2 linked regions of the Sus scrofa genome follow. The protein of the gene in region 1 purifies or fractionates together with the protein of each later gene. This does not show direct contact. Links are inferred from orthologs where the notes say so. Each region holds a gene or a part of one and is shown on either strand. Other genes may lie near its edges.

The links.
Region 2: the proteins of AXIN1 (region 1) and DVL3 purify together in Homo sapiens (affinity purification with western blotting; 3 studies listed by BioGRID and IntAct, with this or other methods). This does not show direct contact. The link is inferred for Sus scrofa from reciprocal best matches to the Homo sapiens genes AXIN1 and DVL3.

What each region holds. Positions count from the first base shown.
Region 1 is NC_010445.4:41,380,192-41,388,055, reverse strand, and holds part of AXIN1 (axin-1), read right to left. Parts: intron 5,966-7,864; coding exon 5,828-5,965; intron 2,164-5,827; coding exon 1,637-2,163; intron 1,165-1,636; coding exon 994-1,164; intron 1-993. UniProt on the Homo sapiens protein: Component of the beta-catenin destruction complex required for regulating CTNNB1 levels through phosphorylation and ubiquitination, and modulating Wnt-signaling.
Region 2 is NC_010455.5:122,086,287-122,093,285, reverse strand, and holds the end of DVL3 (segment polarity protein dishevelled homolog DVL-3), read right to left. Parts: coding exon 6,890-6,999; intron 3,534-6,889; coding exon 3,318-3,533; intron 3,219-3,317; coding exon 2,782-3,218; 3' UTR 2,667-2,781; downstream 1-2,666. UniProt on the Homo sapiens protein: Involved in the signal transduction pathway mediated by multiple Wnt genes.

The DNA of each region.
Region 1 (7,864 bases):
CCCCTAGCCTGGGAACCTCCATGTGTGTGGCCCTAAAAAGACAAAAGACAAAAAAAAAAAAAGAGAATCCCAGGAAGGGGCCGCCAGTGCCCCTGTGACACCAAAACCGCCTCAGGCTGGGGGCGGACTCCAAAAAGCCCCACAGGAAGCCCAGCCCCTGGCCCTGGCTCCTTGCTCCTCCCTCCCCGCCCAGGGCCATTGGTCCCCACGCTGCCACCCCCCAGGTCCACAGCCACGCAGAGGGCAGGAGGCTGCCGAAGCCGGGAGACCCTTCCACTCCTGCTCTGTCCCCTAGAAACTCTCCATGCAGTAGGCGCTGCGAGGACAGAGCCACCCCTGGTGAACATCAGAGGCTGAGAATCCACCCCACCCAACCCCACGAGGAGGGGCTCCCAGAGTGGGCCCCCGAGCAGCACGGCTGCAAAGCGTCTGGACACTGGCAGAGGGCTCATTTCCAGGTCGCCTGCAGGCAAGATCAGGGACCCCGGGTCCAACTCGCCTGCCTCATGCACCACTGAGGCCTCCCCAGCCGTGCCCGGGAGGGCAGAGGGCATCTGCCTGTGGGAGTCGGATGGCCTGCCCACCAAGGGGAGACTCCAGCAGCCTCGGGCCCCCATCCCCCCCGTGATGGGGACGGGGGTGACACCGAGACTGACCACACAGAGCCCAGAGGATCAAAGAGCAGATGAGAACCGGCCCCCAGCTGCCAGGGATAAGCAGGTCAGACCCGGAAGGCATCCAGGTGGCAGCAGCCCCTGCCTGGCAGGCCTCGAGGTAGGTGGGTGGCAGCGGGGACAGACATTGAAGCTCCCTGACGATCCCGCCCCCACAGGAAGGCACCACCCTAAGGCTACCACGGACCGGGCCCCATTCTACAGGTTTCTCGTGTCCACGGCCCGTGGCCCGTGGCTAGACCAGCTGGTCAGGTTGCTGGCAGGGGGCCCCCCTCAGCTGTGCCCTCTCACCCAGGCCCCCTCGGCCACGCCCCCTCACCCATGCCCAGCCTTCCGGTGCCTGCTGATCTCCTTCTCGCCCTCGATGATCCACTGCATGATCTTCTGGTTCTTCTCCGCATCCTCGGAGGGGCCCGGTGCCTCTGCGCTGGCACTCCTCCCTGACTCGGCCTTCTTGGCGCTTCTTTTGGAGGTCATGCCTGCCTTGCCGCTGCAAGAGCAAGACCCGGGCCACCGCTGCCGTCCGCTGGCCTGCTGCTGCTGCGAGCCGTATGGTGGGGGGAGGGGGACCCAAAGGGCAGAGGCCTCGACAGCGCCGCGGGCTGGATGCGACGGCGGGGAGGGAAGGAAGGGTCCAGCAGCACCGTCTGGGAGGGCTGGAGCCAAGGTGGTAGCAGCCAGGGCCCGGCCACCTCCTCACCCAGGCAGGCCCTCGGCACTGGGCGCATCTGATCCCACCACACTCGAGGCGGAAGCCCAGGGATCAGGACGCCCGGGCACACGGGTTTAATGCAGCCTCTGGGGCTGACCTCAGTTTAAGGACTGTTACAGGGGAATCCGGCGTGGACCCTGGCACAGGGTCCACAGGACACACGGCCTCAGGCCTCGAGCCGACACCGACACGGGACGACGTGAGCACAGCCCTGGCCTGTCCCCACGTGCGGGCTGCCGCAGACACCCACCTGTAGGCCAGGCTGTCACCGGTGTTGAGAGGGGTCCCCAGGCTCTCCAAGTGGCTGCGGGGCTTGGCCGCGTGGCCGTGCAGCTCCGGGCCCCATGCGAAGCTGCTCTGGACCCGGCGGGAGGCCTCGGCCTCGGCCGGCTCCTTGGGCCTGGCGGCACCATGGTGGCCATGGTGGTGGCTGTGTCTGTGGAGGTGCAGGCCAGCTGCGTCGAGCTTCACCCCCAACTTGGGCGCGTGCTTTCCGTGTCCGGGCACCGCGGCCCCCAGCACCCCGATCTTGGGCATGTGCGAGTTCTCCGGGGAGCGGTGGCCGGGTCCTGGCGACTGGCAGCCCGGTGTCCGCATGACCCGCTGCACGTGCTCGTCCAGGATGCTCTCGGGGTTCTCCTCGTGCGCGTCCCGCAGCCCCACGCAGCCCACGTCCGCGTAGCGCGCTGGGAAGTGGTGCCAGGCCGGGGCCGCAGGCAGCTTGTGACTGGCCCCTGGGGGGGCAGAGGACACATCACCACCTTCGCCTTCCTCCTCCTGTGGGGACAAGGCTGCGCGTCACCTCTTGGCACTGCCCACACCGTAGAAGTCCCACACCTGAGGAGACAAACACCAGACCAGCAGAGGCCAGGACTAGGCGGGGCCAGGCCAGGGTCCCTCGCATGCGGCAGGGCTGTGGGTGGGCTGCGCGGCAGGAGGGCGCCCAGGAGGGGCACGAAGCCACAGGCCCAGAAGCCCGCCAGGAAGCTGGGCCCTGCCTCTGCTTTCTCCGATGCCTCAATAAAAACTGCACTGTTTTTGAGTTTTCCTACTCCTCAATCTCACGGCCGTATCTTCCATCATGCCCATCGACAGATGAGCTCTTTTTCGTCTTTTTTTAAAAGGGCCGCACTCGGGGCACATGGAGCTTCCCCGGCTAAGGGTCCAATCGGAGCTACAGCTGCTGGCCTACAGCACAGCCACAGCCACGCCGGATCCTTAACCCGCTGAGCGAGGCCAGGGATCGAACCCCCAACCTCATGGTTCCTAGTCGGATGCGTTTCCGCTGCGCCACGATGGGAACTCCAATTCTCACCCTGAGCCAGTGGTTTCCCTGGACTCAAACAGTGACCACACCCATATCTGTACACAGGAATGTGTGATTGCTGTAATTCCTGAAGGGACACCTGTTTGGGATTCCTGTCTCGCGGGCTCGCCCCCACCAGCATGCGGAGTGAGACGGTCACGACTGAGAGACCGGGAGACAAAGCCGCCCTGGATGAGCACGAACAGGTCTCCACAGGTCTACCGCCCAGCTCCTCGGCCCTGCACAGCGGCAGCGTGTCACGTGGACGAGCCGCCAAAGAGGACAGATGGGGAGAGGGGCACGGACCCAGGGGACGCGCACCTCACGGGCGTGGCTGGGAGTCGCCCCAGCAGAGACCCGACCAGTGTCTCCGTCCCAGCCCCACGCTCTGCAGGGATGAGGGGCTGGGGGCCCCGGGAAACTGTTGGCCAGGCCTTGGTGGCCTGGGCGCTGCTGACGCCGACTGCCCTGAAAGGCCAGGGAGCCACGGGGAGCTTCTGGACGCCTGGGGACCCGAGCTCCAGCCTCCTTAACAGCTCTGCGTGCACCGAAATTCCACCTGGGGTTTCAAAATGCCACAGGTTCACCTAACATTCAGCTGCTAATATTCTTTTTCTTTTTCTTTCTTTGTTTTTCCTGGCTTTTTAGGGCCGCGCCTGTGGCACATGGCGGTTCCCAGGCCAGGGGCTGAATCGGAGCTGCAGCTGCCGGCCTCCACCACCGCCACAGCCACACCACATCCGTCACCCACTGAGTGGGGCTGGGGCTCAAACCCGAGTCCTCATGGACACTAGGTGGGTTCATTACTGCTAAACCACCACGAGAACCCCCATTTTCTTTTACTTTTATTTTCCAGATTTTACAATGAAAATAAGTCATTTAAAAATGCGTAGTTATTCCTCTTAGAAGAGAAATCTCTTTCCCAGTACAACTCACCTAAGTTACAATCGCACCCGCTAACAAACCTGAGATGGCGCTGCCAGCTGTAGGGACCCCAACCCGAGGCCCCCACACGAAGCCCACCTGAGATGGAGGCCCTGCGCCCTCCTCCTGCTTCCTGAACTGACCCTGGAGAAATGCAGGGCTGCTCGTTTACACGCTGCCAAATGAGAGAACAGCACCCCGTCTGCCCTCGCCTGCCGGGACGCCACAGAGTCTCAGACTCAGATGTCAGACACACAGGCTCAGGAGCTCCTACTGTGGTGCAATGGCTTAAGACCCTGACTGCGGCTGCTCAGGATGCTACGGAGGCACGGGTTCGAACCCCGGCCCGGTGCGGTGAGAGACAGGATCTGATGATGCCACAGCTGCTGTGTATGGCCTGGCTGTGGCTCAGATCTGATCCCTGGCCCAGGAACTTCATGTGCCATGGTGCGGCCATAAAAACAAAACAAAAAAGAAGTGCCTGCTCCAACCTACGGCCACAACTGCCTGGGGAAGGCGGAGGTCCCCCTGCAACGCTGACCTGCCGGGACCACGAGGACACACAGCCCTGGAGCCGAGACCAAAACCTGGACCACACTAGCTCAACTCTACAGCGCAAAGGCAGCAGCCGCGTGCCTGCTCACACTTCCTCCACACGGCGATGCACGTTAGTGCCCAAGCACGTTTGTTTTCAGAGCACGAAAGCCTCTCTCTCACAGAGGCCGTGCCCCGGACCTGCTGCCAGAGCAGGAGGATGCGGCCTCGCCACACGCGAGCACCTGGGCCTCTCAGAGACCCCGCTCTGCGCACCAGAGGCCTGTCGGGGCTGCCGCCGGGCCCCTCCCCACTGACATGTGGTCCCCGACCCCAGCTGTCCTTCAGCTCCTGGAGGGGTCCGAGGGCTCCAAACAAGAGCAGCCTGGGAGGGCACGACGGCAGCGACTGTGCCCCGCCAGCCACTCGCTCCCCAGCAGTGAGGCGACCCCGGGGGCGGTGGGGAGCAGAGCCCTCTCGGCCTGGCCAAGTCGCCCGACGGGAGGGAGCTAGAGGCCGCATGTGCACACGCGCACCCGAGCACCTTCGCGCTCCTGCTCTCTCCGGGCTGCAGGGGTCACTGGGTACATGGGATGAATCTGGGTTCTGACACGCTACCGGACACCTGCCTGTCATCTGCACGTGGGAGGAAGGGGGCGAGCTGGGCGCAACGCGAGAGCCCTGGAGCCCCAGACAGCAGCTGCGGGGCACAGGCAGGCGCCAGAGAAGAGCGCCAGGGGTGACCACCTGCCAAACCCATGACAGCGCCTCCACACGGCCCACCTGGGACACGGCAGCGTGGAACAGCAGGGCGCTGGCCAACAGGGCTTGAGGGGCTCAGGGTCTGCATCTTATCTATTTTTACTATTATTATTGTTATTATTTTTTCTTTTTAGGGCCACACTCACAGCACACAGAGGTTGCCAGGCTAGGGGTCAAATTGGAGCTGTAGCTGCTGGCCACAGCCACAGCCACAGCCACAGCCACAGCCACGCGGGATCCGAGCCACATCTGTGACCTACACCATGGTTCATGGCAGCGTCAGATCCTTAACCCACTGAGTGAGCCCAGGGATCAAACCCGCAACCTCATGGTTCCTAGTCGGATTCGTTAACTACTGCGCCTTGACGGGAACTCCCCGCATCTTAAATCCAAGAGCCAGTGTCTGGGTTGAGAAATAAATCCTTCAAGAAACATCGCATTTCTGAGTTTCAGGTACTGGACAAAATATCCAGAAGAGACGGATCCCTCTAAGCGGAGGGCCCAAGCCCCGAGGCCGCGGGCCCAGGAGGGACGGCCCAGTGAGGGGGGTGAGGGGCACGCCCGCCACAGCCGCCTCCGTTCAGAGGCCTCGCATGTGTGGAAAGCGGGCGTCCAGCAGAAGGACCCCAGGGCAACAGAAGCAACTAGAGGCAGACAGGTACTCAGGCAAACACGTCACCGATATCGTGAACCTTCTCAGCATCCAACGTCCCATCAAGTGAGGCTACGGTCAGAAAACTAGACAAAACAGAACCTGCGTCCAGACTCCACGGGGCTCGAGGAGCACCGGGAGCCGAGCAGGACGCAGCCGGCACAGGAGCGCGCCAGACCTGTCCCCAGGCCGGGCCAGCGGAGCTCCGGCAGGGCCACAGGTGCCCTGGGCGCAAGCAGGCGGCCCCGCCAGGGCCCACTCACCATCCGCACGCGCTTCAGCCGCTCCTCCAGCTTCTCCTCCGCCTCCCGCGTCCGCTGGACGGCCTCCAGGCGGTGGATGAGCTCTGCGGCGAACTTCTGGGGCTCCACGCGGACTTCCTTTGGCATTCGGTAGGTGCGCTGCAAGGGGACACCGCCGGTGAGGTGGCCGCCACCCTGGAGAAGCGTTGCTCGAGCACCGCCCAGGCCGGGACTCGGGACAGGACCCAGGGCAGCCGAGGGCTCCAGGCTGGGCGAGGGGCAGAGAGCCCCAAGGAGCGGGACCGGCTGCCCCCAGCAGTGGCCACCCTGTACCCCAGGGGGGGCTCAGGTGTGCACGGATGAGGGACACGAAATTCTGGGTCCCAGCGGGTTGGGACCGAGGCAGGATGACGCAGGGCTCCTTCTTTCAGGGACGGCAGCTTTACCTACACTCCGCAGCGGTCCACTGCATGGCTTTTGGGGAGGGGGAGCTTGAAGGCAAAATAATTTCAAATCCAAAACACGAGCAAGAGCCCCTCAGCGTCACCTGCCACGCTGCTGTCACTCTGTCCCCTAGGCACGCCACACGCACACCCCCCCTTCTGAGCCAGGAGAGAACACTGCACATGGGACGCCTGTTACTTCCTCAGCACTTCAGGACGAATGTGACCAAAACCAAGGACGCTCCTCTACCTAACCCAGCACGACTGATTTCAAAAAAAGGATCCTGATACCACGTTATCTAATCACTGCTCTCATTCCGACCTCACCGGCTGCCCAATAACGTCCTTTCTAGAAACATGTGTTTAAAGACATCGAAGCCACGGGGTCTGAGTGAGAGGGGACGGGAGCGGCAGGGGTGCTGCCGTCAGGAAGAGACCTGCGAGGACCCGAAGGTGGGCAGTAGCTGCGGGCCCCGGCCTTCAGACACCGCGAGGCGGGCACCACGGGGGCCCTCCCGCCAGTGGGCACTGGGCACGGTCTTGCCTCTGCACCCCCAGTCCTCACCCGCCAAGCAGGAGGAAGCATGGCCTGGCTCCTCACAAGGTCAGCCCGTCACATGGGGGCTCAGAGACCAGCGTGCGGGCCGACGCTGACCAGACGGCTTGGAGGCCTGGAGCAGGGAGGGGCTGAGGGCAGGACACAGGGCAGCGCTCCTGAGGCGGCCGGGTGGGTGCCAAAGGCGGGCGGTGCCCAACCCCAGGCACGGTTTGTCCTGGAGCCGAAAGGGCCATAGAGGAAGGGGCAGTCAGGGTGTCCAATGCTTCTAGAAGATCCTGAGTGCAGATGACCAGCTGAGGACTGGGCAGCCAGACGGCTGAGAGGCCGGGGCCCTGAGACCCTGGAGGGGGTCGTCGCGGGCGGAGTGCTGTGAGGCCAGGCCAGCCCCACCAAGCCAGCCGATCAGAGGCCTGGAGGCTGAGAGCAGGGGCTGAGCACATGAGTGCTGTGACCCCACAGGCTGAGCGAGCAGCAGGATGTCCTAGTGGCAAAAAAAAGCCGAAGGCACAGCCCCTGACAAGACCTGCTGCCGACAATGGGCGAGGTGGTGAGAGGGCTGGCGGCAGCTCAGCCCCTGCTGCGGCACGCCACCCTCCCAAGAAGCTCACCTTGGAAAAGAGCCTGCAGGCTGCAAAGCCGTGCTTCCAAAAATAGGGACACAGTCAGATGCTACAATAATTACCAGATTTACAGAAAAAAGGCAACCTTTCTGTTAAATAAAAAAAAAATCACCAAAGAAATTATGGCAGGTAAATAAAAACATGGAGTTCTCCTGTGGAGCAGCGAGTTAAGGAGCTTATGTTACCTCTGCTGTGGCCCAGGTTCTAACCCTGGCCTGGGAACTACTGCCTGCCACAGGCACGGCGCGAAGACAGAAAGCGGGAGAAACGGAGAAGTTCCCACTGTGGCTCAGCAGCTTAAAACCCGGCATGGTGTCCATGAGGATAGGATGCAGGTTTGAAACCTGGCCTTGCCCAGGGGGTTAAGGATCTGGCGTTTCTGCGGCTGTGGCATAGGCCAGCAGCTATAGCTCCAATTCAACCCCTAGTCTGGGCT
Region 2 (6,999 bases), on another chromosome or scaffold:
AGAGAGAGATACCCTGCTGCCTTCCATAGGCAGGGCTGAGCCCATCATGAGAGGAAGGAAGGGCAAGAAAAGGCAAACCAGTTGCAAACCTTACTGTTCCTAGTATCCTCTTGGTAGAAGCCAGAATATGGTAGGATGAAGATCTGGCTTCTCTCAAATCGGGGTCACAGACTGAAGCCATTAAGTGACTGAATACTGTAATTCTTGAACCATCACTCAAGGTTTCACTTCTACCTTTCCAAAAGCTTTGTCCTCAATACATACCCTAAAGTCTTATCAATTTAGAGTAAATAATAATGATGATGATAATAATAACAATAGCTACCATTTATTGAGCACCTATTCTACTGTGTGCCAGGCACTGTGCTAGGCACTTTTCGTACAATATCTAATTAAATCCTCACAACAACCCTGTGAGGTAGGTATTATTATTGTCACTTTACATATGAGGAAACTGAGGCTCAGAGAGATTAAATAACTCTCCTATCACGCAACCAAAAAGTAGTAGAGTTGGGATTCAAACCCAGAATAACCTGACTCCAAATCCCATGCTCCTGTGAACTAGAATAGAGGCAGAGGGGAGAGGAAGGGACAAATTCAAGAAAGATTGCTGGAGAGGAATGGATATGATATACTGACTAGTAAGGTATGGGAAGGAATTTAAGCCCATAAATATTTCTAGCTGGTGAGCCTATGTAGAGTGTGATGAAGGTAACCAGGATTGGAATTCAGGAGGAACACACTTGGGTGGGGGAGAGGGATGAATTGGATCCTTATGGCCATGACCATGGAGAGGTCCAGTAGGTGATAAAAATACAGATCTAAAAATAGAGGGAATTTAGAGATGGAGATATATATTTGGGAAACACCAGCATATCACTGGCAGTTGAGGACATCAGGATGGATGACACCATTTTGGGAGTGAGGAAAGAGAAGTGGATCAAAGATAGAATACAAGGACCCTGAAGGTGTGAGCAGTGGTGGAGGAATCCTCAAGAGTTGGAAACAGAAGAATTGGAGGAGGAAGAGTACAAGAGGCAGCCCTATGGGGTGGCTAAGGAAAACATAGTCTGGATTGGGAGCAAACCTAGAGCTCCCAGGAGGAAGGCAAAACTGAGTCACACTTCTAACACAACCCTATGCACCAAAACCCCCAGGGAATGTTTGTTAAATGAATGAATGCCCAAACACCCCTACCCTGGTTTGCCCCAAAGGCCAGAGCTTAGGACTTCATCTTACTCTTGACACCCCAATCCTAAAAATATGGAAGCCTAGGTGAGCCAGAATTTACAGAAGAGGCTTATAGAGAAAGTTGTGCTTTGCTTAAACAAAGGAATAAAGTAAAAAATAAAACTTGGCGCTCTGGAAGTCCCCCTGCCCAACCTTGCTCTGGGTCATCATGGTAACTGTGAAAACAGGGAAGGGTGTGTGGGGTAGAAAGCAGGGTGAGAACAGCTTGTCATTTGCCTGGGGAGTCCTCTGCTGAGCCCAACCTGAGATTCAGCTTGGGCTATTTATCCAGATAGGAAGATGATGGGGACATGTGTGGGAGGTTTGAGGGCTGTGGGGGGAAAGGAGAGGGAAGTCTGGGGACCAGCCCCACAACCTAGGAGGACTAGGAGAGGGTCCAGCCCTCCGGACAGGGACCAGCCCTGAGGCTTAAGAGAAGTTGCATAGGCACGTAGTAGGGGGGGGGGGGCCTACAAGGGAGAGGGAAAGGGAGAGGGAGAGAGAGAAGCAAAGAAAGAAGGAAAGAAAGAAACTCTGGAGAAAGGGGAACAGAGTCTCTTATACATAGGTGAGAGGCTGGGGTGCTCCTCAGAAGCTAGTGACTCAACATGTTGAAGTGTAGGTGTGGGGGCTGAATATCCTTGGGAAGCCCTGAGGGGCTGCTGAAGCAGGGTTCCTGGTCTCCTCGGAGGCTGGGCCTCCCCTCGCTGGGGGCTCACAGAAAGTCAAACAGCCCGAAATTCTTGGCTGCTCCAGGCCCAGGAAAAATTGAGGGAGGAAAAAAGAAAGAAAAGAAATGTTTCAGGCCCAGAGGTGAGATGAGTGTGCTGGTTAGTAGGGTTAGGGGTCTGAAGGAAGCAGGGCACAGGGCAAGCATGGGGCAAGGGTAGGTCTGGACATACAGCAGAGATGCTCCCTGGAATCCACGAGCAGCTCAGGCAACTGAAGGAAGGGCCCACTGGGCTTCTGCTAAGGTCAAGCGCAGGCAGGGATAGCATAGATGGTTATTGGAGGTGACTACAGCTCTAGGGTGCAGGGCTGAGGCAGCAGGTGGGGGGGAACAATTAGAAGGAAGGGTAGATGAAGCAAATCTCTTTTTGGTGTCAGTATTAAGGGGAAAAATCAAGAGACTGGCACACATGCTTGAGGGAATGGGGTTAACAGACGGGATGATACATATGAATGAATAGTGAAAAGGAATGAGGGGTATGCTGGCTCTCAAGGGCACTGTTGGGGTCAACTTCTGAAGTGTTGGGGGTGGGGGAAAGGAGCAGCACCAGCAAGTTGGGTCCCAGGGACTTGAAGGATCCTGGGGAAGTCTTGTACAGCGGTTAGTGGGCGGAGGGACAAGCTGGGGCGGCGGCAGGTTAGGGGTTGCAGTTGCGATCAGTGGGTGCACCTCGCCCTCGCTGCACCCAGCGAGCAGTTAGCGCGCCTGGATTTAGTTCCGTTTATTTCCCTTTCAGGTACCAGACAAAGTAAAAAAGACGGACTGAGAGAGGGATGCAGGCGGCCCGGGCAGGATGGGATGGAAATGGGGGAGGGGCCCTCTCACATCACATCCACAAAGAACTCACTGGGGTTTCCCATGGCCATGCGGAAGGACTGTCTGCTGGCGGTCAGTTCAGGGGGCACGGAGGCCAGGTCGCGGCCCGGAGGGGCTCCCGGGGGCCCCATGGCCGCAGGCGGTGGGGGCATCATCAGCATGGGGGGGCCGTAGAGAGGGGGCACGCCGGGGGGGCCGTAGCTCGGATGTGTGTGATGGCTGCGCAGGCTGCTGGCCAGCGAGTGGTGGCTGCGGTGGCTGTGCTCGCTGGTGGCAGGGCCCGAGCGCTCGCTGGGCGCGCGTTCCCGAGGCCCCCGCAGGCTGCTGCGGGTCGTGTGGTCCGACTCGCTGCCGCTGCCACCCGACTTTGAGTCCCCGGCCTTCTGGTCTTTCTCCTTCCGCCGGTCGCTGCCGCTGCGGTTGGAGCCACTGCTCCGGCTGCCTGTAGGGGACAGGCAGAGACGGGGTCGGGGGACACTCAGAGCTAGCAGAGGATGCCTAGGGCTCGCCTGTGCCCCCTCCATGGCCCGCACTGCCTTACCTTCACTGTGCTGACTGCTGGCGCTGCCCCCGCCATAGCTGTACCCCAGCTCTGGGAAGCCTGGGTGCGGATTGTAGGGGTGTGGGGGCGGCGGATACTGGTAAGGGAAAGCCATGGGCCAAGGAGCCGCCCCTGGGTGCGGCAGAGGGGCCAGAGTGTCCTGGTCAGAGGCACCGCTGGAGCCGTCATGATCGTGAAGGGAGAGGTTGGCCATGTCTGTGGAGCGGAGGGGAGAGGGGTAAGTTGGGTCTATTCCATGTGCCCGCACCCGTAGTGTGCAGACAGGTCCCCAGCCTAGGTCAGGTGGGTGCCTTTGGGAAGACAGCAACAGCAGTGGCAGTGTCTCACCAGAGGAAGGGCAGGCAAGAGATCTTTCACTCCTTCAGTTCCCCTCTGCCACATCCACCAGAGGTGGTGGGGAGGGAGACTCGGCAGAGACAGCCCCAGAGAAAATGTCCCTAGGAAGGCCCTGAGTCACCACTTTAGATGCTCAGTGCCAAATCCCAGTTCCCTGGAGGCTGGCTACCAAGCCTTTGGCAGTTTCTCCTCCTTCCTCAGTGGGCTGGAAGAAGAGGCAAAACCCTTACTTGGCAATTTCCTCTGTTCTCTTAGAGGGTAAAAGGTAGGGAGGGGAATGTGGGAGGCTGAAATACCAGACAGCCACCAGGTAATGCATACCTGCACTTCATCAGGCACAATACAAAGCATGCAAGTGTTACCACAACCCTATGAGGAGGGTTTTAGTCACGTTTTCTCCAGATGAGAAAAGTGAAGTCCACAAAGGTTAAATGATCAGCCTAAGTTCAACCCAAACCGTAGCCAGCGCAGAAGCTAAGAGCTGCTTACTGTTTCCTTACCTTTCCAGATGAAGGCATCAGTAAGGAGCAGGGAGCAGTTTGGGGAAATTTAGATGCAATTTTGCCCTCCCCTATTCACTTAAGACTAAAAAAATACCCATTAAAAGCCAGAAGGAACATAGGGCCTTTCAGAGCCTCCCCACACAGAAGGCCCTTGGCGTGGATCAGTTTTCTAGAGCTGCTGGGGAGGGTGGGAGTGAGGCAGAAGGGTCCAGAAAGAGAACAACTTAGGCTGTGCTCTCCACCCCATTCCCAGCCAGGCCTGTTCTTCACAGCACTTGAGTCAGTATATCGACATTATTTCTTTCCATGACTCTGGCTTACCCAGTAAATTGTGCACAGGCAAGGCCGCTCCCACCTATGTTGGGACTACTTGGGAAGAGAGTATAAGGGGTCATTATAACTGCCTGCCTGGGATACCCCTTGTTCATACTCCATCTGTGCCAGGTCTCTGAGCTCTGAGAGAGCTGTAATTACACTGGAGGCTAGCAGCTGGGTACAGACTGAGTCCTTTGTTCCAAGTCCTGAAGGGAGCTGACCCAACCTTACAGGGGACAAGAGGTCAGGAGAGGGGACTGAGGCAGCCTATGGAGTCTACCAGCCAAACTATCAACCTGTCAGGGTCAGCAGCTAGCGTGAGCAGTGGTGATGATCAGAAGCAGAGGCCTGCCTTGGTCACTACTTCAGCTGTCAAGCTGTCATCCCAAGGGGAGTGACTGTGTGTTCCTGGGGCTACCCAGGTCTCCAGCTCTTCCCTTTGAGTCTGCCATACTCCCAGCTGAGGATACTTCAGCCAGTGAGAACAAAAAGGCCTGTTCTGTCTGCATCTCCCTGAGCATGGCCTCTGGTGGACTTGGTCCATGGGCAGAAGACCCAGAATGCCCCTGGTATGGAACAGTGCCTTCTGAGCAAAAGCCACAGCTGTCCTGAGAAGCTTTATGTACCCCTGAAGGTTTGGGGACAGGGAAGACTTCTACTGGCCATGTCTGATCAAATTTAAGAAGCCAATAATTGCAAGATGCACCGCTATTTCAGAGATATTGAAATGTGAAAAAATGTTCAACTTATAATCAATTAAATACATGGTAAGTGGACAATTTTTTTTTTTTTTTTTTGCTTTTTAGGGCCACACCCACGGCATAAGGAGGTTCCCAGGCTAGGGATCGAATCGGAGCTGTAGCTGCCGGCCTGCGCTACAGCCACAGCAACACCAGATCCAAGCCACATCTGCAACCTACACCACAGCTCACGGCAACGCCAGATCCTTAACCCACTGAGTGAGGCCAGGGATGGAACCCGCAACCCCATGGTTCCTAGTTGGATTCATTAACCAAGTGGACAACTTTTTAAAGAGCACTTATTGTGGGCCAAACATGGTGCTAAAAGCATTACATACATTATCCTATATCATCCTCAAAACAGACCTATGAGATAGGTCTTACTGTTGTCTCCATCTTACAGACCAAGAAATTGATGCACTGAGAGCCTGTGTCACTTACCATGTTCATACGGCGAGGGTGGAGCTAAAATTTGAACTCAGAACTGTCTAATGCCAAAATCCTATGCATCTATCACTACTCCATGGGGCCATGCTGAAGCTGCTGAGGGCCAGGGACCCCATCCTCAGCCAGGGACTTGTGCTCCTCAGAAACAACCTTTCTCGTTTCTAGAACCTAATCTGAAATATTTTAAGAGTTAGCTTCTGGGAGTTCCCTGATGGCCTAGTGGGTTAAGGATCAGGCTTTGTCACTGCTGTGGTATGGGTGTGCTCTCTGGCCTTGGAACTTCTGCATGCTGCAGGCATGGCCAAAACAAAAAACAAAACAAAACAAAAGAGTTAGCTTTTGGATTCCAGCCAGCACCAGTGGGCTGAGAGAAGGTTGCTTCAGGCGGAGATGGTTGCTGGGGCTGGGTTTCAGCTCCCAATCCTGCGCACTGCTGTCCTGTTTTGAGGACTCTCCTTCCCAAGGGCAGTCCATAGGCTCAGGATAAGGGGAGTTCCCTGCAGACCTCTCCCATTTAATAACCCTCATTGGCTTTGCAATCGCTCAAGATCAAGTCCAAACTCCTCGGTACAGTTTGCAGAGTCCCTTACAACCTGGCCCTGACAGCTTTCCCAGCTTTAGCCCAAGGCAGAGCCCACCCTCAGGGGTCTGAGGAGGCTGTGGACTTGGGGCCTCAGGCCAGCTCCAGGTCCTGCCTTGGTGGAACCTTTTGGTGCTGTGAGGATTACCCAAGAAAATGCTTCTGCAGCACCACACACCTAGGACAACCTCAGACCATAGGAAGAATAAAAGCTCTGGAGCCAGAAAGTCAACTCAAGGCCTAGCTCCTTTGCTTCTAGCTGCGAAACCTGGGGTGGGTGGACTACTTAGCTTCTGTAAGTCTCATCAGTTTCCTCATCTTGAAACAGAGATAGTAATCCATGTGGGGAGGTTGTGAGGACTGACTGAGGGAGAGATGATGCTTTAGAAATAGTGAGCGCAGTGTGGGGCACGGAGCAGGCACTGAGAAAATGCCAGCCCCAAGAGGAGGATGCAGGGCAGTTGAAGAGGCTGGACAGGGCTCTGCTTCTACCATAGAACTCTCAGGTTGAGAGGTTCCCCCAGCTCTGCTGCCCCCTCAACTGGGTTCCCTAGAGTCTGCTGCCACATCCCTGGGCAACTCCCCACTCCCAACCAGGAGATAGGGCAAGGAGCGGGGGAGGCAACATACTGCCACAGAGGTCGCCGAAGATGTAGTAGCACTGCTCGGAGAAGGTGATCTTGTTGACAGTGTGGCGGATGAAGCCAGCTTTCAGCAGGTTGCTGGCATACTTGCGGGCC